Sus scrofa: one gene and its partner. The protein of the gene in region 1 interacts with the protein of each later gene in a biochemical or structural test. Links are inferred from orthologs where the notes say so. Each region holds a gene or a part of one and is shown on either strand. Other genes may lie near its edges.

The links.
Region 2: the proteins of SNTB1 (region 1) and ASNSD1 interact in a test that uses a peptide from one of them, tested with the Homo sapiens proteins (2 studies listed by IntAct, with this or other methods). The link is inferred for Sus scrofa from reciprocal best matches to the Homo sapiens genes SNTB1 and ASNSD1.

The regions. Positions count from the first base shown.
Region 1 is NC_010446.5:18,286,268-18,292,404, forward strand, and holds the start of SNTB1 (beta-1-syntrophin), read left to right. Parts: upstream 1-2,488; 5' UTR 2,489-2,623; intron 2,624-2,787; 5' UTR 2,788-2,992; coding exon 2,993-3,572; intron 3,573-6,137. UniProt on the Homo sapiens protein: Adapter protein that binds to and probably organizes the subcellular localization of a variety of membrane proteins. May link various receptors to the actin cytoskeleton and the dystrophin glycoprotein complex.
Region 2 is NC_010457.5:94,259,574-94,265,777, forward strand, and holds the start of ASNSD1 (asparagine synthetase domain-containing protein 1), read left to right. Parts: upstream 1-2,336; 5' UTR 2,337-2,696; intron 2,697-4,633; 5' UTR 4,634-4,687; intron 4,688-6,092; 5' UTR 6,093-6,168; intron 6,169-6,204.

The DNA of each region.
Region 1 (6,137 bases):
GTTTCAACCTATTAGCATGACTAAAGGAAAGAATGTACCAATTAGGAGAGGGCAGCATGTCCTCTAACCTGGAAAGCAGGGGAGGCCAGGAGACAATAGCTGGGCCGAACCTTTCTACAGGTATCTAGGGCAAGGGTCTTAATCCTCCCTGTCTCCCTAAGGATGGGAAGGTTGGCTTCCGTGCAAGGTGAACTCTACAGCTAACACGTTCTAAGCATTTTTAGGAGATGATGGTTCAAAGTCCAAACTCTTTCTACCTGGGTTCATATCGTGACTCTGCCTTTTTTAAAATATATATATATATATATTTTTGCTTTTTGGGCTGCAGGTGCAGCATATGAAAATTCCCAAGCTAAGGGCAAATCAGAGCTACAGCTGCTGGCCTACACCACATCCACACCACCACCAGATCTGAGCCACATCTGCAACCTACACCACAGCTCATGGCAATGCCAGATCCCTGACCCACTGAGTAAGGCCAGGGAGCAAACCTACATCTTCATGGATACTAGTTGGGTTCATAACCCACAGAGCCACAGTGAGAACTCCTGACTCTGCCATTTATCCACTACATGAGCAGGGCAAGTTTTTAAATCTGTACCCCCATTCTTCCACCTGTGAAACAGGAGTGATGATAATAGCAAGTATCCCTAAGAACAACTGGGAGGATTAAGTTAATACCTGTAAAGCACTTAGAATAAGGGTTGTTATTTTAATTCCATTGGCAAAGCCATCTCTGGCTGACATGCATGCCTCAGGCCTGATGATATTGAATATTTGCCTTCGCTTCCTCTGATGCCACTTTCAGCAAGCAACCTACTCCTTCCCATGTAGGTTTGCTCACCCGGAAAAAATGTGCTTATCACAGAGATTCTGAGAAATTCCCATCCCAGAGCTTGCAATTTCTTACAGCAAATCGATAAATTACTTCTGGTTATGCCTGGGCCTCTAGCATCACTTGACCACAGAGACAAGACACAGGTGTAATGGGAATGGACGATTTCAGTCCAGGAGCAGATGTTTTGATTTCTAAATCATCGCCCTGGCATTCCGGTGCCTGTCTCCACCTCGGTGCTTTTGGGTTAGAACACAGACACTCAGGCTCTGATTTTCCTGCAGAGCGATGTGTGTGTGCAAGTCCTTAGTCTCTAAAGCAGAGGGCAGCCTCAGCTGGTTTTACCACCCAATACCGTGGTCCCACCCCTCATAGCTCCTTGACTGATCCTGGTACTGCTGTCCCTGGGTACCTTTACCTGAATGAATAAAGAGCTTCCGGAACACTGGTTAGAAATATAGGCAATAAGGATTCTGTAAGTAGAAGTATAAACCTAAGAGTTTCTCATGACCTACCTGTAGTGACTTATAAAAAAAAAAAAAAAGAAAGAAAGAAAAATCCAAATGTTTTCATTTCATTTCTGGCACCTGCCTGGAATACCAACCACCCAGGCTCTGGAGATTGGGAATTGCTCTGTGTTTTTAAACATTCACAATTAAAAATGTGAGTCATTTGAGAAGGGTTAGAGAACTTTCAATGATGCTGTTCATCAGCTCAGTGGCAATGTGTTCAATAAGATTTCTTTCCTCCTGACACCTTGCTGGGTTGCATTTACCTTTAGGAATTCTCTGATTTGTGAATTTGGGTTTGGTTTGGTTTCAAAGAAAGCACAGAAAGAAGTGGAAAGGAAGGTAGATGAGATGAATGAAACACTTCCAGAGCTCCCTGAGATGTGCATAGGGTGGAGGACCCCTGAGAGTTTCCAGGACCAGGAGGATTCTGGGAGATTCATCTAAGACATGTGTTGGCACTTCTGGATTGGCCTGGGAAGATAACCAATAATTTATAATATCGTTTCCCAGGAAAAAGCAGCTTGAGTTCCAAGTCACTCAGAAAGGAACTTCTGAGATAACAATCCATTGCAACCGAGTTCTTAAATAGTGGACTTTTTTCTATTGGACCCAGGGAAGACAGACAAAGTCCCAGGAAGCATTTGGCGTGGCATTGCTGGGGCGGGAGAGGATAGATCAGGAGCAGAGAGCATGTAATGTACTAGGGCAGGAAGAAAAATTGTCCCTGGGGTCTGGGGCCAACAGTGACCTGCTGAAAACCGCAGCCATAGAGACACCTCTTCAGAGACCTAGCAGAAAAGATGTCCTGCATTTAAGGAGAAGTTTCCCTGCACTGGGGTTATGCTGACATTTCATCCTGGGTTCCTGGGACAACCTTCCCTCTTGCCTTTCAGGGAACCCAGGCTGTCCGTCTGGTCTGAGCCCACCTGAGAGCCTCTGCGGAAAGGAGAGACAGGTAAGAACCGAAGCCAAGACTTGGCTTTTGGAAGCCAGAGTGAAGAGACTAGACCCAATTAGGGGTTAGGGCGGAGAGACCGTTCGACAGAGGGTGTGATAGGGGGCTTCAGAGCATCCAGTGAGCGGACCAAGGCAGGACACCCAGACCGTGCGGGGTGCGGAATAGGCGCCGAGGGAGAAGGGTGAGTGGACGAGAGACGGCTGGGGGCGGGGTGGAGGGAAGCTGTCCCTGCGGCGACGTGCGCTCAGAGCACGGAGGCGGGGAGGGTCTGAGAGGACGCGCGGCGTGTGACCGCCGAGGCTGCGGCGGCTGGAACAGGTGAGCGGCCGCCAGGCGCTGGGTCCCCGCCCTTCCCGGCGAGGGACTCCCCCTCCGAACCTCCCCCGCGCTTAGCTGTTTCGCGGCTTCCCTTGGGTTTGGGGTTTTGCAACTGGCAGCTGGCTGCCCCCCTCCACTGTTTCTGTCTCTCCTTCTTCTTTTAGGTAGCTCCACCCCGCCCGGGATCAGGCCAGGGGGAAGCTGCCGACTGCGGCTGCCAACTCGCGCCGGGCGCTCCAGCGAAGTCGCGGAGCGGAGTCCCGCGTCCCGCCTCCTCCCTGCCGGGCGCGCTCTCCTCGCTCCCCGAGCAACCCTTCCCCACTTTTCCCCCCTTTTGCAATCGCACGGCATTTTAAGAATGCCGGAAAGATGGCGGTAGCAGCGGCGGCGGCAGCGGCAGTGGCAGCGGGGCCGGCCGGCGGGGGAGGCGGCCGGGCGCAGCGGAGCGGGCTGCTGGAAGTTTTGGTGCGGGATCGCTGGCACAAAGTTCTGGTGAACTTGAGCGAAGACGCCCTGGTTCTGAGCTGCGAGGAAGGCGCTGCGGCGTACAACGGCATCGGGACCGCCACCAATGGCTCGTTCTGCAGGGGCGCCGGCCCCGGGCACCCAGGCGCAGGCGGCGCGCAGCCCCCGGACTCTCCCGCCGGGGTCCGCACCGCCTTCACCGACCTGCCGGAGCAGGTGCCCGAGTCCATCTCTAACCAGAAGCGCGGCGTGAAGGTGCTGAAGCAGGAGCTGGGCGGGCTGGGCATCAGCATCAAGGGGGGCAAGGAGAACAAGATGCCCATCCTCATCAGCAAGATCTTCAAGGGGCTGGCGGCGGACCAGACCCAAGCCCTGTACGTGGGCGACGCCATCCTGTCTGTGAACGGGGCCGACCTGCGGGACGCCACCCACGACGAGGCGGTGCAGGCGCTGAAGCGCGCTGGCAAGGAAGTGCTGCTGGAAGGTGAGGGGTTAACGCTGCGCGGGCTGCCTGGGATACGCACACCCCAACCGCCTCCTCCCGCCGCATCCTCACACCCACCCACGTGCCGCCACACCCCAGGGGACCGCCGGGCGCGGGTGGCGGAGTTTTGACAACTTTGACCCACTTGGGGGCCACTTGTCCCCACCTGCGAGGCGTTGACCCAGCAGAGGTGTAGGCAAAGTCTCGGTGAGCAGGGTTTCTTGAGTTCGTGTTCTGTGCAGAGCACGGGGTCGGAGGCGTAGTTCACGTAGTCTCAGTTTTACGGGAGCCAAATCTAAGCGTAGCTTAGGGGCCCCAAGTAGAACTGGCCATGAAGGGGGCACGTCCACGTTACAAAGCCAGCTCACTGAGTAATCGCAACTCTGACAGTTTTCTGCTTTGGCAGTTTTCTTCTCTGAAGCCTGGGCAGCCCAGCTAAAAGGGTCGAAGCTCAGAAGGGCCAGAGAGGGGTGGTAATGTGTGCGTGCTAAAACTCCCACCACCCTTCCCGACTGCCCTTTCAAACTGGAAACTGGCCTTCTGGCTGGGGCGTTGTGCCAACGGCTGGGGAGTGTGTTGCAGCTTTATGCAAAAGTTCACTTATGCTGCCAGGTGTTTGGCCGGTCAGTCTGGATTCCAGGTTGCTTTGGGCGGAGGGCTGGTGAGGTGGCTTTTCTGCCTGCATTTTCCCAGTGTTTCCCCCCCCCCTCAGAGTTGTGGTGTGGAAACAACTTTGCATTTGTAAACAGTTTTCCTTGCCTGCGAGGTGTCTAAGAAACTACTCTCTTAAGATCTGATGTGTCCATTCCCCTAGTTACCAAATGTGAATAGAATGAGTAGCACCTTTTGTACCCGTTGGCGGCTGTGTGGTGTTGTGTAGGGAGAAGGGCAGTAGGCGAGTAAGGGGTAATGCGTTCTCCTTTTCCACTACAGCTGCCATTTTCACTTGCTGTCTGCCTCTCTGCCCCCTTACCTAGCTTTGTACACACCTCTGGCAGCACTAACATCATGTAAATATCTATTTACTCAGCCTCCCGCCAATGTGGATTGAGTTGTCTGGGGGGTCCTATATTTGGTTATGGGTCATCTCCCTTGAACTCCATGACATATGTGCTGAGTCAAGGAAGAAATGAACCCATGGCCATTGAAACTGACTGTTTCAACTGAGACTTGTAAGTGGTGGTTGATCTAAACTGAGAACTTAAGTCAGTTTCCTGCTTAGATGCTGGTGTGTGAAACAGAAAGTTCAAAGTTGGGAAAGGGACTCTGTTCCCTGCAACAGCTGATGCAATTCTGTGGTATGTGATGGCCCACCTCCTGGCCTAGAATACAGAAGGGATTTTTTTTTTACCCCCTTATTTGTCTAGAGGATTTGTGATGTCTTCATATTTAATTGCCACCTGGGATCCAGAAAGTAGAAGGCTATTTGCTTTGGCTTGATGATTAACATAGTAAACAGAAAAAAGTTTTCTTGATTCAAGTGTGGGTTGGCCTGTGTGACAAGGGGCAGGTGGGATCTGAAGCAAGTGTAGTTTGGACTATACACAGCTAGACACCTGCTCAGCTTGCAATATTTACTGCAAAATATCAGGGGGCACAAAAGGCAGGTCATTTCTGTTTCAGGCACTGCCCCTCATTGTGTCCCTTCTTCTAAGTTTCAATTTAATGAATAATGACTTAGCAAAGGGGTTTAAAAAAATTAACCAACTCTCTCACCCCAAAAGAGGAAGAAAATGTGACTCCCTACAGTTGAAAGTAAACTTAGACAAAAGAAAAAAAATTTTTCAAGCAATCATCTGACGGTATTGGTGCAGCAACTGAAAAGTGAGTTTCATTAAAACCTCTTAAACATAACATCCTTACAATGGACTGTTATGTGTTCCAGGCAGGACCTCTAGGGGAAGACCTCTGGGTTTCCTAGATGTGAAGCTATGGGCTTGGGGCTGCAGTCTTATTTCCAGCCCAAGTCTTCAGAAATCAACTGCTATTAGGATAAACCAGTAGATCTCCCCTCCCCCCTTCAAAACAGTGTCTCTTCTTCTGAGAAGTATTGGTTCTAAATGCGCTGGGAGTGATCATATATCATCAAATCACCTGCAAATACCCTCTCTTTTGTAGGTTGGCCCAGTGCAGGGATTCCCAGCCCAAAGGGGCTTTTCAGAACCACAGGAAAGGCTTTTTAAAATCACACATCTATTTGGTCCTGCACTGATATGCCATCTTGATTCCAGAATTTCTACATAGGAAGGGCTTTGAAGATGCAATCCAGTTGGACGAGAGAATTAAAGGAGATGCATTAAAGATACATTTATAGGGCAAAGACGCTGTTTTTTTTTCCCTTAGATTGCTTTTTTTTAGTTGGTTTGTTATTTTAGGGGCGGATAGAGACTAGTTCAGTCCCTCAATTGCTAACAATACACCCCTCATTACGTGACATGCGCCCCCTAGTGGAGAATGACTGCTTCTAATAATGGAACATCTTGTGACGTGAAACCCTGCCCAGCAAATTTCTGTGCCTGCGTTCTAGTCTTAGATTTGGCCACAGAAGGATCTTAACCTCCCAGA
Region 2 (6,204 bases), on another chromosome or scaffold:
TAACTCTATAAGTAACAAATTCTAGAGAGGATGTGGAGAAAAGGGAACCCTTCTATACTGTTGGTGGGAATGTAAATTGGCACAACCACTATGGAAAACAGTATGGAAATACCTCAGAAAACCAAATATAGAGGTACCATATGATCTGGCAATCCTACTCCTGGGCATATATCCAGACCAAACTATAATTTAAAAAGATACATGTACCCCTATGTTCATTGCAGCACTATTCACAATAGCCAAGACATGGAAACAACCTAAATGCCCATAGATAGATGAATATATTAACAAGATGTGGTACATATATACAATGGAATACTATTCGGCCATAAAAAGAACAAATCAATGCCATGTGCAGCAGCATGAATGCAACTAGAGATTCTCATACTAAGCAAAGTCAGAAAGAAAAAGACAAAACCATATGATTTAACTTATACATGGAATCTAAAATATGACACAAATGGGAGTTTCCATTGTGGCTCAGTGGGCTAGGAATTTGACTTGTATCCATGAGGATGCAGGTTCAATACCTGGCCTTGCTCAATGGGTTACAGATCTGGCATTGCTGTGAGCTGTGGTGTGGGTTGCAGACAAAGCTCAGATCTGGCATTGCTATGGCTGTGGCATAGGCTGGCAGCTGCAGCTCTAATTTGACCCCTCTCCTGGGAACTTCCATATGCCACAGGTGCAGCCCTAAAAAGCAATAAATAAATAAATAAATAAACAAAATATGGCACAAATGGGACTATCTACAAAACAGACTCACAGACATAGAGAACAGACTTGTGGTTGCCATGGGGGAGGGGGAGAGAGTGGGATGGATGGAGAGTTTGGAGTTAGTAGATGCAAGCTATTACATTTATAACAGATAAGCAAGGAGGACCTACTGTATAGCACAGGGAACTATATCCAGTCTCTTGGGACAGAACATAATGGAAGATAATACGAGAAAAAGAATGTATATATACATATGCCTGGGTCACTTTGCTGTACAGTAGAAACTGGCACAACATCTAAAATCAACTATACTTTAATATAAAAAAAGAAAAATACTAAAAACCTGGATTCTTTGTCATCTCATTTCTAAAAGAAATTAGATCTTCATCACCTAGCAGGTATCACCAAATGGTTAGGCCATAAAACCAAATTCCCAATCATTGCTATCCATGTGAAATAACTTAGCCATGCATCAATCAGAAACAAAAACAAAGTTTTAAAAATTCAGTAAAAAGTAAAAACAGACAGTAAACTTAGTTCTATAACCACTTTGGATTAACTGTAAGACAGTTAATATATTCCTGGGTTTAAACCACCCATGAAGTATGCTTTCTTGATCATAAAGTTTGGTTCTATTATATGAGTCCATTTGGGTGTCTCTGTAAAAACTTAAGATTTCCAAAATTAAAGTATAATTTTCAAAAACAGAAAGCCATGTTTCTTGTGCAAATATAAAATGAACATTTATCAGAGTTTTGTTAAATGAGGGAACACGAAGTTAAAACCAATTCAAAGAGTTTATGAGAAAGCAGACATATATTAATTTAAAAACACTGCAGAGTTAGATGCAAACTGGTTAATATCTTGCAGAATAAGTCACAACCTGTGGGGTTATCTGGCCCATCAGACAGAAATTATTTGCATTATCTGTCACACAAAAATCTACCAGTTAACCTCTGCCTTAGCAGAATTATAAAATAGCCTGGTCAGGAGTTCCCTTGTGGTACAGCAGAAACAAATATGACTGTTATCCATGAGGATGCAGTTCAATCCCTGGCCTCGCTCAGTGGATGGGGATCTGGGGTTGCCAGTGAGCTGTGGTGTTGATCCCAGACGCTGCTAGGATCTGGCATTGCTGTTGCTCCAGCTGACCCCCAGCCTAGGAACCTCCATATGCGTGGGTGCGGCCCCTAAAAAAAAAAAAGCCCAGTCAATAGAAAGTCAAAGCCAGAAAAGCTATGAAAGAAAACCTGGTAATCTCTTGCCAATTTTGGATGATTTTTCTCATAGGAGTAAGGTTGTGACTATTGCATGAGTATACCTATATTAAAAATTACTCATTTATCTGAAATTCATATTTAACTGTGAATCCAGTATTTATCTTTTAACCTTAGTAACAAGTTAACAAAAGCTTTATCAAGGCTGTACAGTTCTATTACCAACAACGTATCTCTTAAATCTGTGTATAGCTTCATATTCTTGCCTAGATAATAAATATTAAGTAGCATTTCGAATGCTCGTCTATTCTTCACATTTACCACTGGGAGGCGCCTGTAACTCACAGTCTACTGGATGCCGAATCGTAACGAGGCTATGAGAGTGTTTCAACTTCTTATCCGCTAGGGGGACAGTTCAGAAACCTCTCAGGTTTCACAACAAGGCTCTGCTCTCGTGCTTGCTAATAATCTGAGCGCACGCGCGCAACTGCTCCAAGGCCCGCTCGGACTGCGCAGGCGTTCCAGTGAGCGCGTGGAAGCCTTTGGTAGGACTCACCGGACGGAAAGGGAGGGGCTGGAGCCGCTGGGATAGCACACGCTCGGGGGGTGTAGGCTGCGCACTGCTGGGTCGCTGTCCGGGCCGCGCATCCAGGTATTTGATGCTCCGTGGAGATGCCTAGCCCGGGCGTTCAACACGAGGACGGCGCAGGGCTGGTCTCCACTGACAACTCGACCCCTCAAAAGGAAGATCTAAGCCGCAAGGTGAGTGTGGGGACGAGGTGACAAGGCCCCCAGGCGCGGGACAGGGTGCTATTCGTCCTCAGAGAAGATCCACTGTGGCCGTGTGGTCCGATTTCGGCTTTGCCGGACTGGGCTGCATTGACAGCTACAGTTAAAGGGAGATCGTGAAACTTGCCCCGAGATTAGTCCCAGATAGCAGTAGGGTGGAGGTTTAGTTGGGTGGTTTTGTTTTTTGGGTTTTTTAAACCCCAAATTTTTAAGTCATTTTAAAAGCCCTTATACAATAAAATTTACCTTTTTCCTTTTCTGTAAATCTAGCACATGTATAAATTTGTTTGACTACCACTATTGGGATACAGAACTGTTCCATTACCCCAAGAGACTCCCTTTATAGCCATGCTTTCCCCCACCTAGAAGCTCTGGCCGCAGCCTGATCTGCTGCCGATGACAGAACAGTTTTGTCCTTTAGGGAACATCATGTAGATGAAATCATAGCATATGTCATTCTAAGATTGGCTTCTCTCACACAGCATAATGTCTTTGAGATTTATGGTTGAGTTTTCTATATACTCTTTTTTTTTTTTTTTTTTGTCTTTTTGCCTTTTCTAGGGCCGCACAAGCGGCATATGGAGGTTCCCAGGCTAGGGGTCTAATTGGAGCTGTAGACACCGGCCTACACTACAGCCACAGCAATGGGATCCAAGCCTCCTCTGACTTACATCACAGCTCATGACAACACCAGATCCTTAACCCACTGAGCAAGGCCAGGGATCGAACCCACAACCTCATGGTTTCTAGTCGGATTCGTTAACCACTGCGCCACGACAGGAACTCCAGGTTTTCTACATACTGTTGAGCTTGGGGGCATGTTGAAGTTTGTTCCCAGGCCAGTGATCAAACCTGTGCTTCAGCAGCAACCCAGGCCACTCCAGTGATAACGCTGGATCTTTAACCTGCTGCACAAGGGAAGAAATACTGCCCACCCTAGAGCTGCTGCTGATATCCTGTGCCTCAGAAAATATCACCACCAACTATCCACCTGTCTGTGCCAGTAATCTGGGAGCCACCCCTTAAGTCCATTACAAAGTCCTATCAGGTTAACATTTAAGGCCCACTTCAAAGATGTCCCTTTATCACCATAGCTCACCACTTATACTGATGTGTGATATATCCCTGAGGTGTTTAAGGTCTGGCAAAGATCATACAGGATCTCCTTTTAGAGGCTTTAGTGATACTATGTAATCAGTCCTGTTCACAAAATAACTACCATTACTGATTGAACCTTCTCTTACTAATAAAAAGTGAGACCTAGTTCAACAGTGACAGCATCTGTGCTAGCTTTTGAGATACAGAGAGGAGTAAAGCAGAGAGGAAAAGTGATAGGTTGTACTGCCCCCCACCCCCAACCCCCCCGGTAGGGCATTTACTACTGCTTGCTTAGTCTGAATGTGTGGCCACACCATTTAGGACATAAGTCATGAAAAGCATTGGTATAGAGGGATGAGGTTGGGAGAAGTGACCCCACCCCACATTCCATTTGGTATTTTTCAAGAAAGTTAAAATACAACTTAAGTGAAATCATTGAAAAAAATGGTATTGCTTTTGGGTTTTGGTGCAATTATGTTTTTATTTCATATTGTCACTTTTAAATAAAAGGTATAAACCTTGTTTAGTAACTGTGGCTGTTCCCTGAATATGAATGCTGGTTGCCAATATCCTATCTGGGTCCAAGGGGCCATCTAACACCTGGCAAGTCTGATCACTCTTTCTTCCCCCAATTTTCCCACACTTGCACCACCACACACACTGTTGTTGAAAACAATCTATATATTCACCGACTGTCCATTTGGACAATCAGTACATTTTAGCCCCTTATCACATCTTTTTAATTTTAAAGGTCCCTCAGTGAGCATACTTTGCTAACTTCTGATTTAAGAAAATCTTCTTTATTTCAATAGATTAAAGAACAAAAAATTATTGTGGATGAACTTTCTAACCTAAAGAAGAACAGGGTAAGTTATTAGAATTATTCTGAACAGTATGCCAGAGGGTTTGATTATATCTCATTAGCTTATATAAAAGTTATAAGAACTATATATAAGATTTATGTCAAAATTTATAAGATTTCAGCATCTTTTTAGTTAAATTGCAAAAGTGAAAAGTGTATATGTATCATATATGGATGTCTATATATTAATCATAGTTGATGATATCTTTTCCCCATAATATGCAATTGACATTACCTTTGAACAAAGTGATACTAATTATTTTATCTTGGAGCTGTAATCACTAATAGTCTTTGTTTTATACTTGAATTTGGTGTTTTCTTTTGAAATGAACTTTATTTAAATATACTAAAAAGATAAGAAACTAGTCCTTTAAGTGAATGTAGATAATTAATTTTTTTTTAAAAAAGGATAAATGCTTCCTCTTCCCCTTCCCTGAGTTTTTTACAGAAAGCTTCCAAATCTTTTATTGTTGTTGTTTAACACCATTTCTATTAATGTATTTATAAACAATCAAGCTACTGCTTCATGTGTAGTTATACTTGCCAAAAATTATATTTTGAAGGTAAGGAAGAATGATTTGAACCCTTTAAAACATTTTAAAAATTATTTGGTAACTGACAGGTTAGACATTTCTGATATGGTCATTTGTGGAATATTAGAAGTTAGGGTACAATTCATACAAACTTTCTAGAGGGCAAGTTGGCAGAATGTACCAAAGTTTTAAAACTATGTAACACTTTGATACAGCAGTTCTATTGATAGGAATTGATACTTAGGAAAAAAAAAACTATGGGAGTGGAGTTCCCGTTGTGGCTCAGTGGTTAATGAATCCAATTAGGAACCATGGGGTTGCAGGTTCGATCCCTGGCCTTACTCAGTGGATTAAGGATTCAGTGTTGCCATGTGCTGTGGTGTGAGTCACAGACATGGCTCAGATCCCACGTTGCTATGGCTGTGGCGTAGGCCAGCGACAACAGCTCCGATTGGACCCCTAGCCTGGGAACCTCCATATGCCGTGGAAGCGGCCCCAGAAAAGGCAAAAAAAAAAAATTAAAACAAACAAACAAACAAAAAAACATGGGAGTGCATCACAACATTGATTTATAATGGTGAAAAATTGGTAACACCTGAAACTTGAGGACTGACCAAATAAATTGTAATATTACAAAAGAAAAATGGTGTAACAGTGGTGTTACAGTATACACAGAGAAAGAGTTTTACCTCAGTGTCCATGGTAGCAGTTTCTAGATAGTTGGATAATGGGTGACTTTTGTTTGTCCGTATTTGCTAAAGTATTGTTCTGAATATGTTAGTGAAGTCCAAGAATAAGCAATAATAGGGTTCAGAGTTTTGACATCTGCTACTTTTAAAATCAAATCATGATATTAGCCTAAATTATGTTTTGCAGAAAGTATATAGGCAGCAACAGAACAGCAACATATTCTTTCTTGCAGACCGAACGGAAATGCTTTCTGAAAGCAAAAGTAAGTTTTTTGGTATATTATGTGGAAACACAGAGA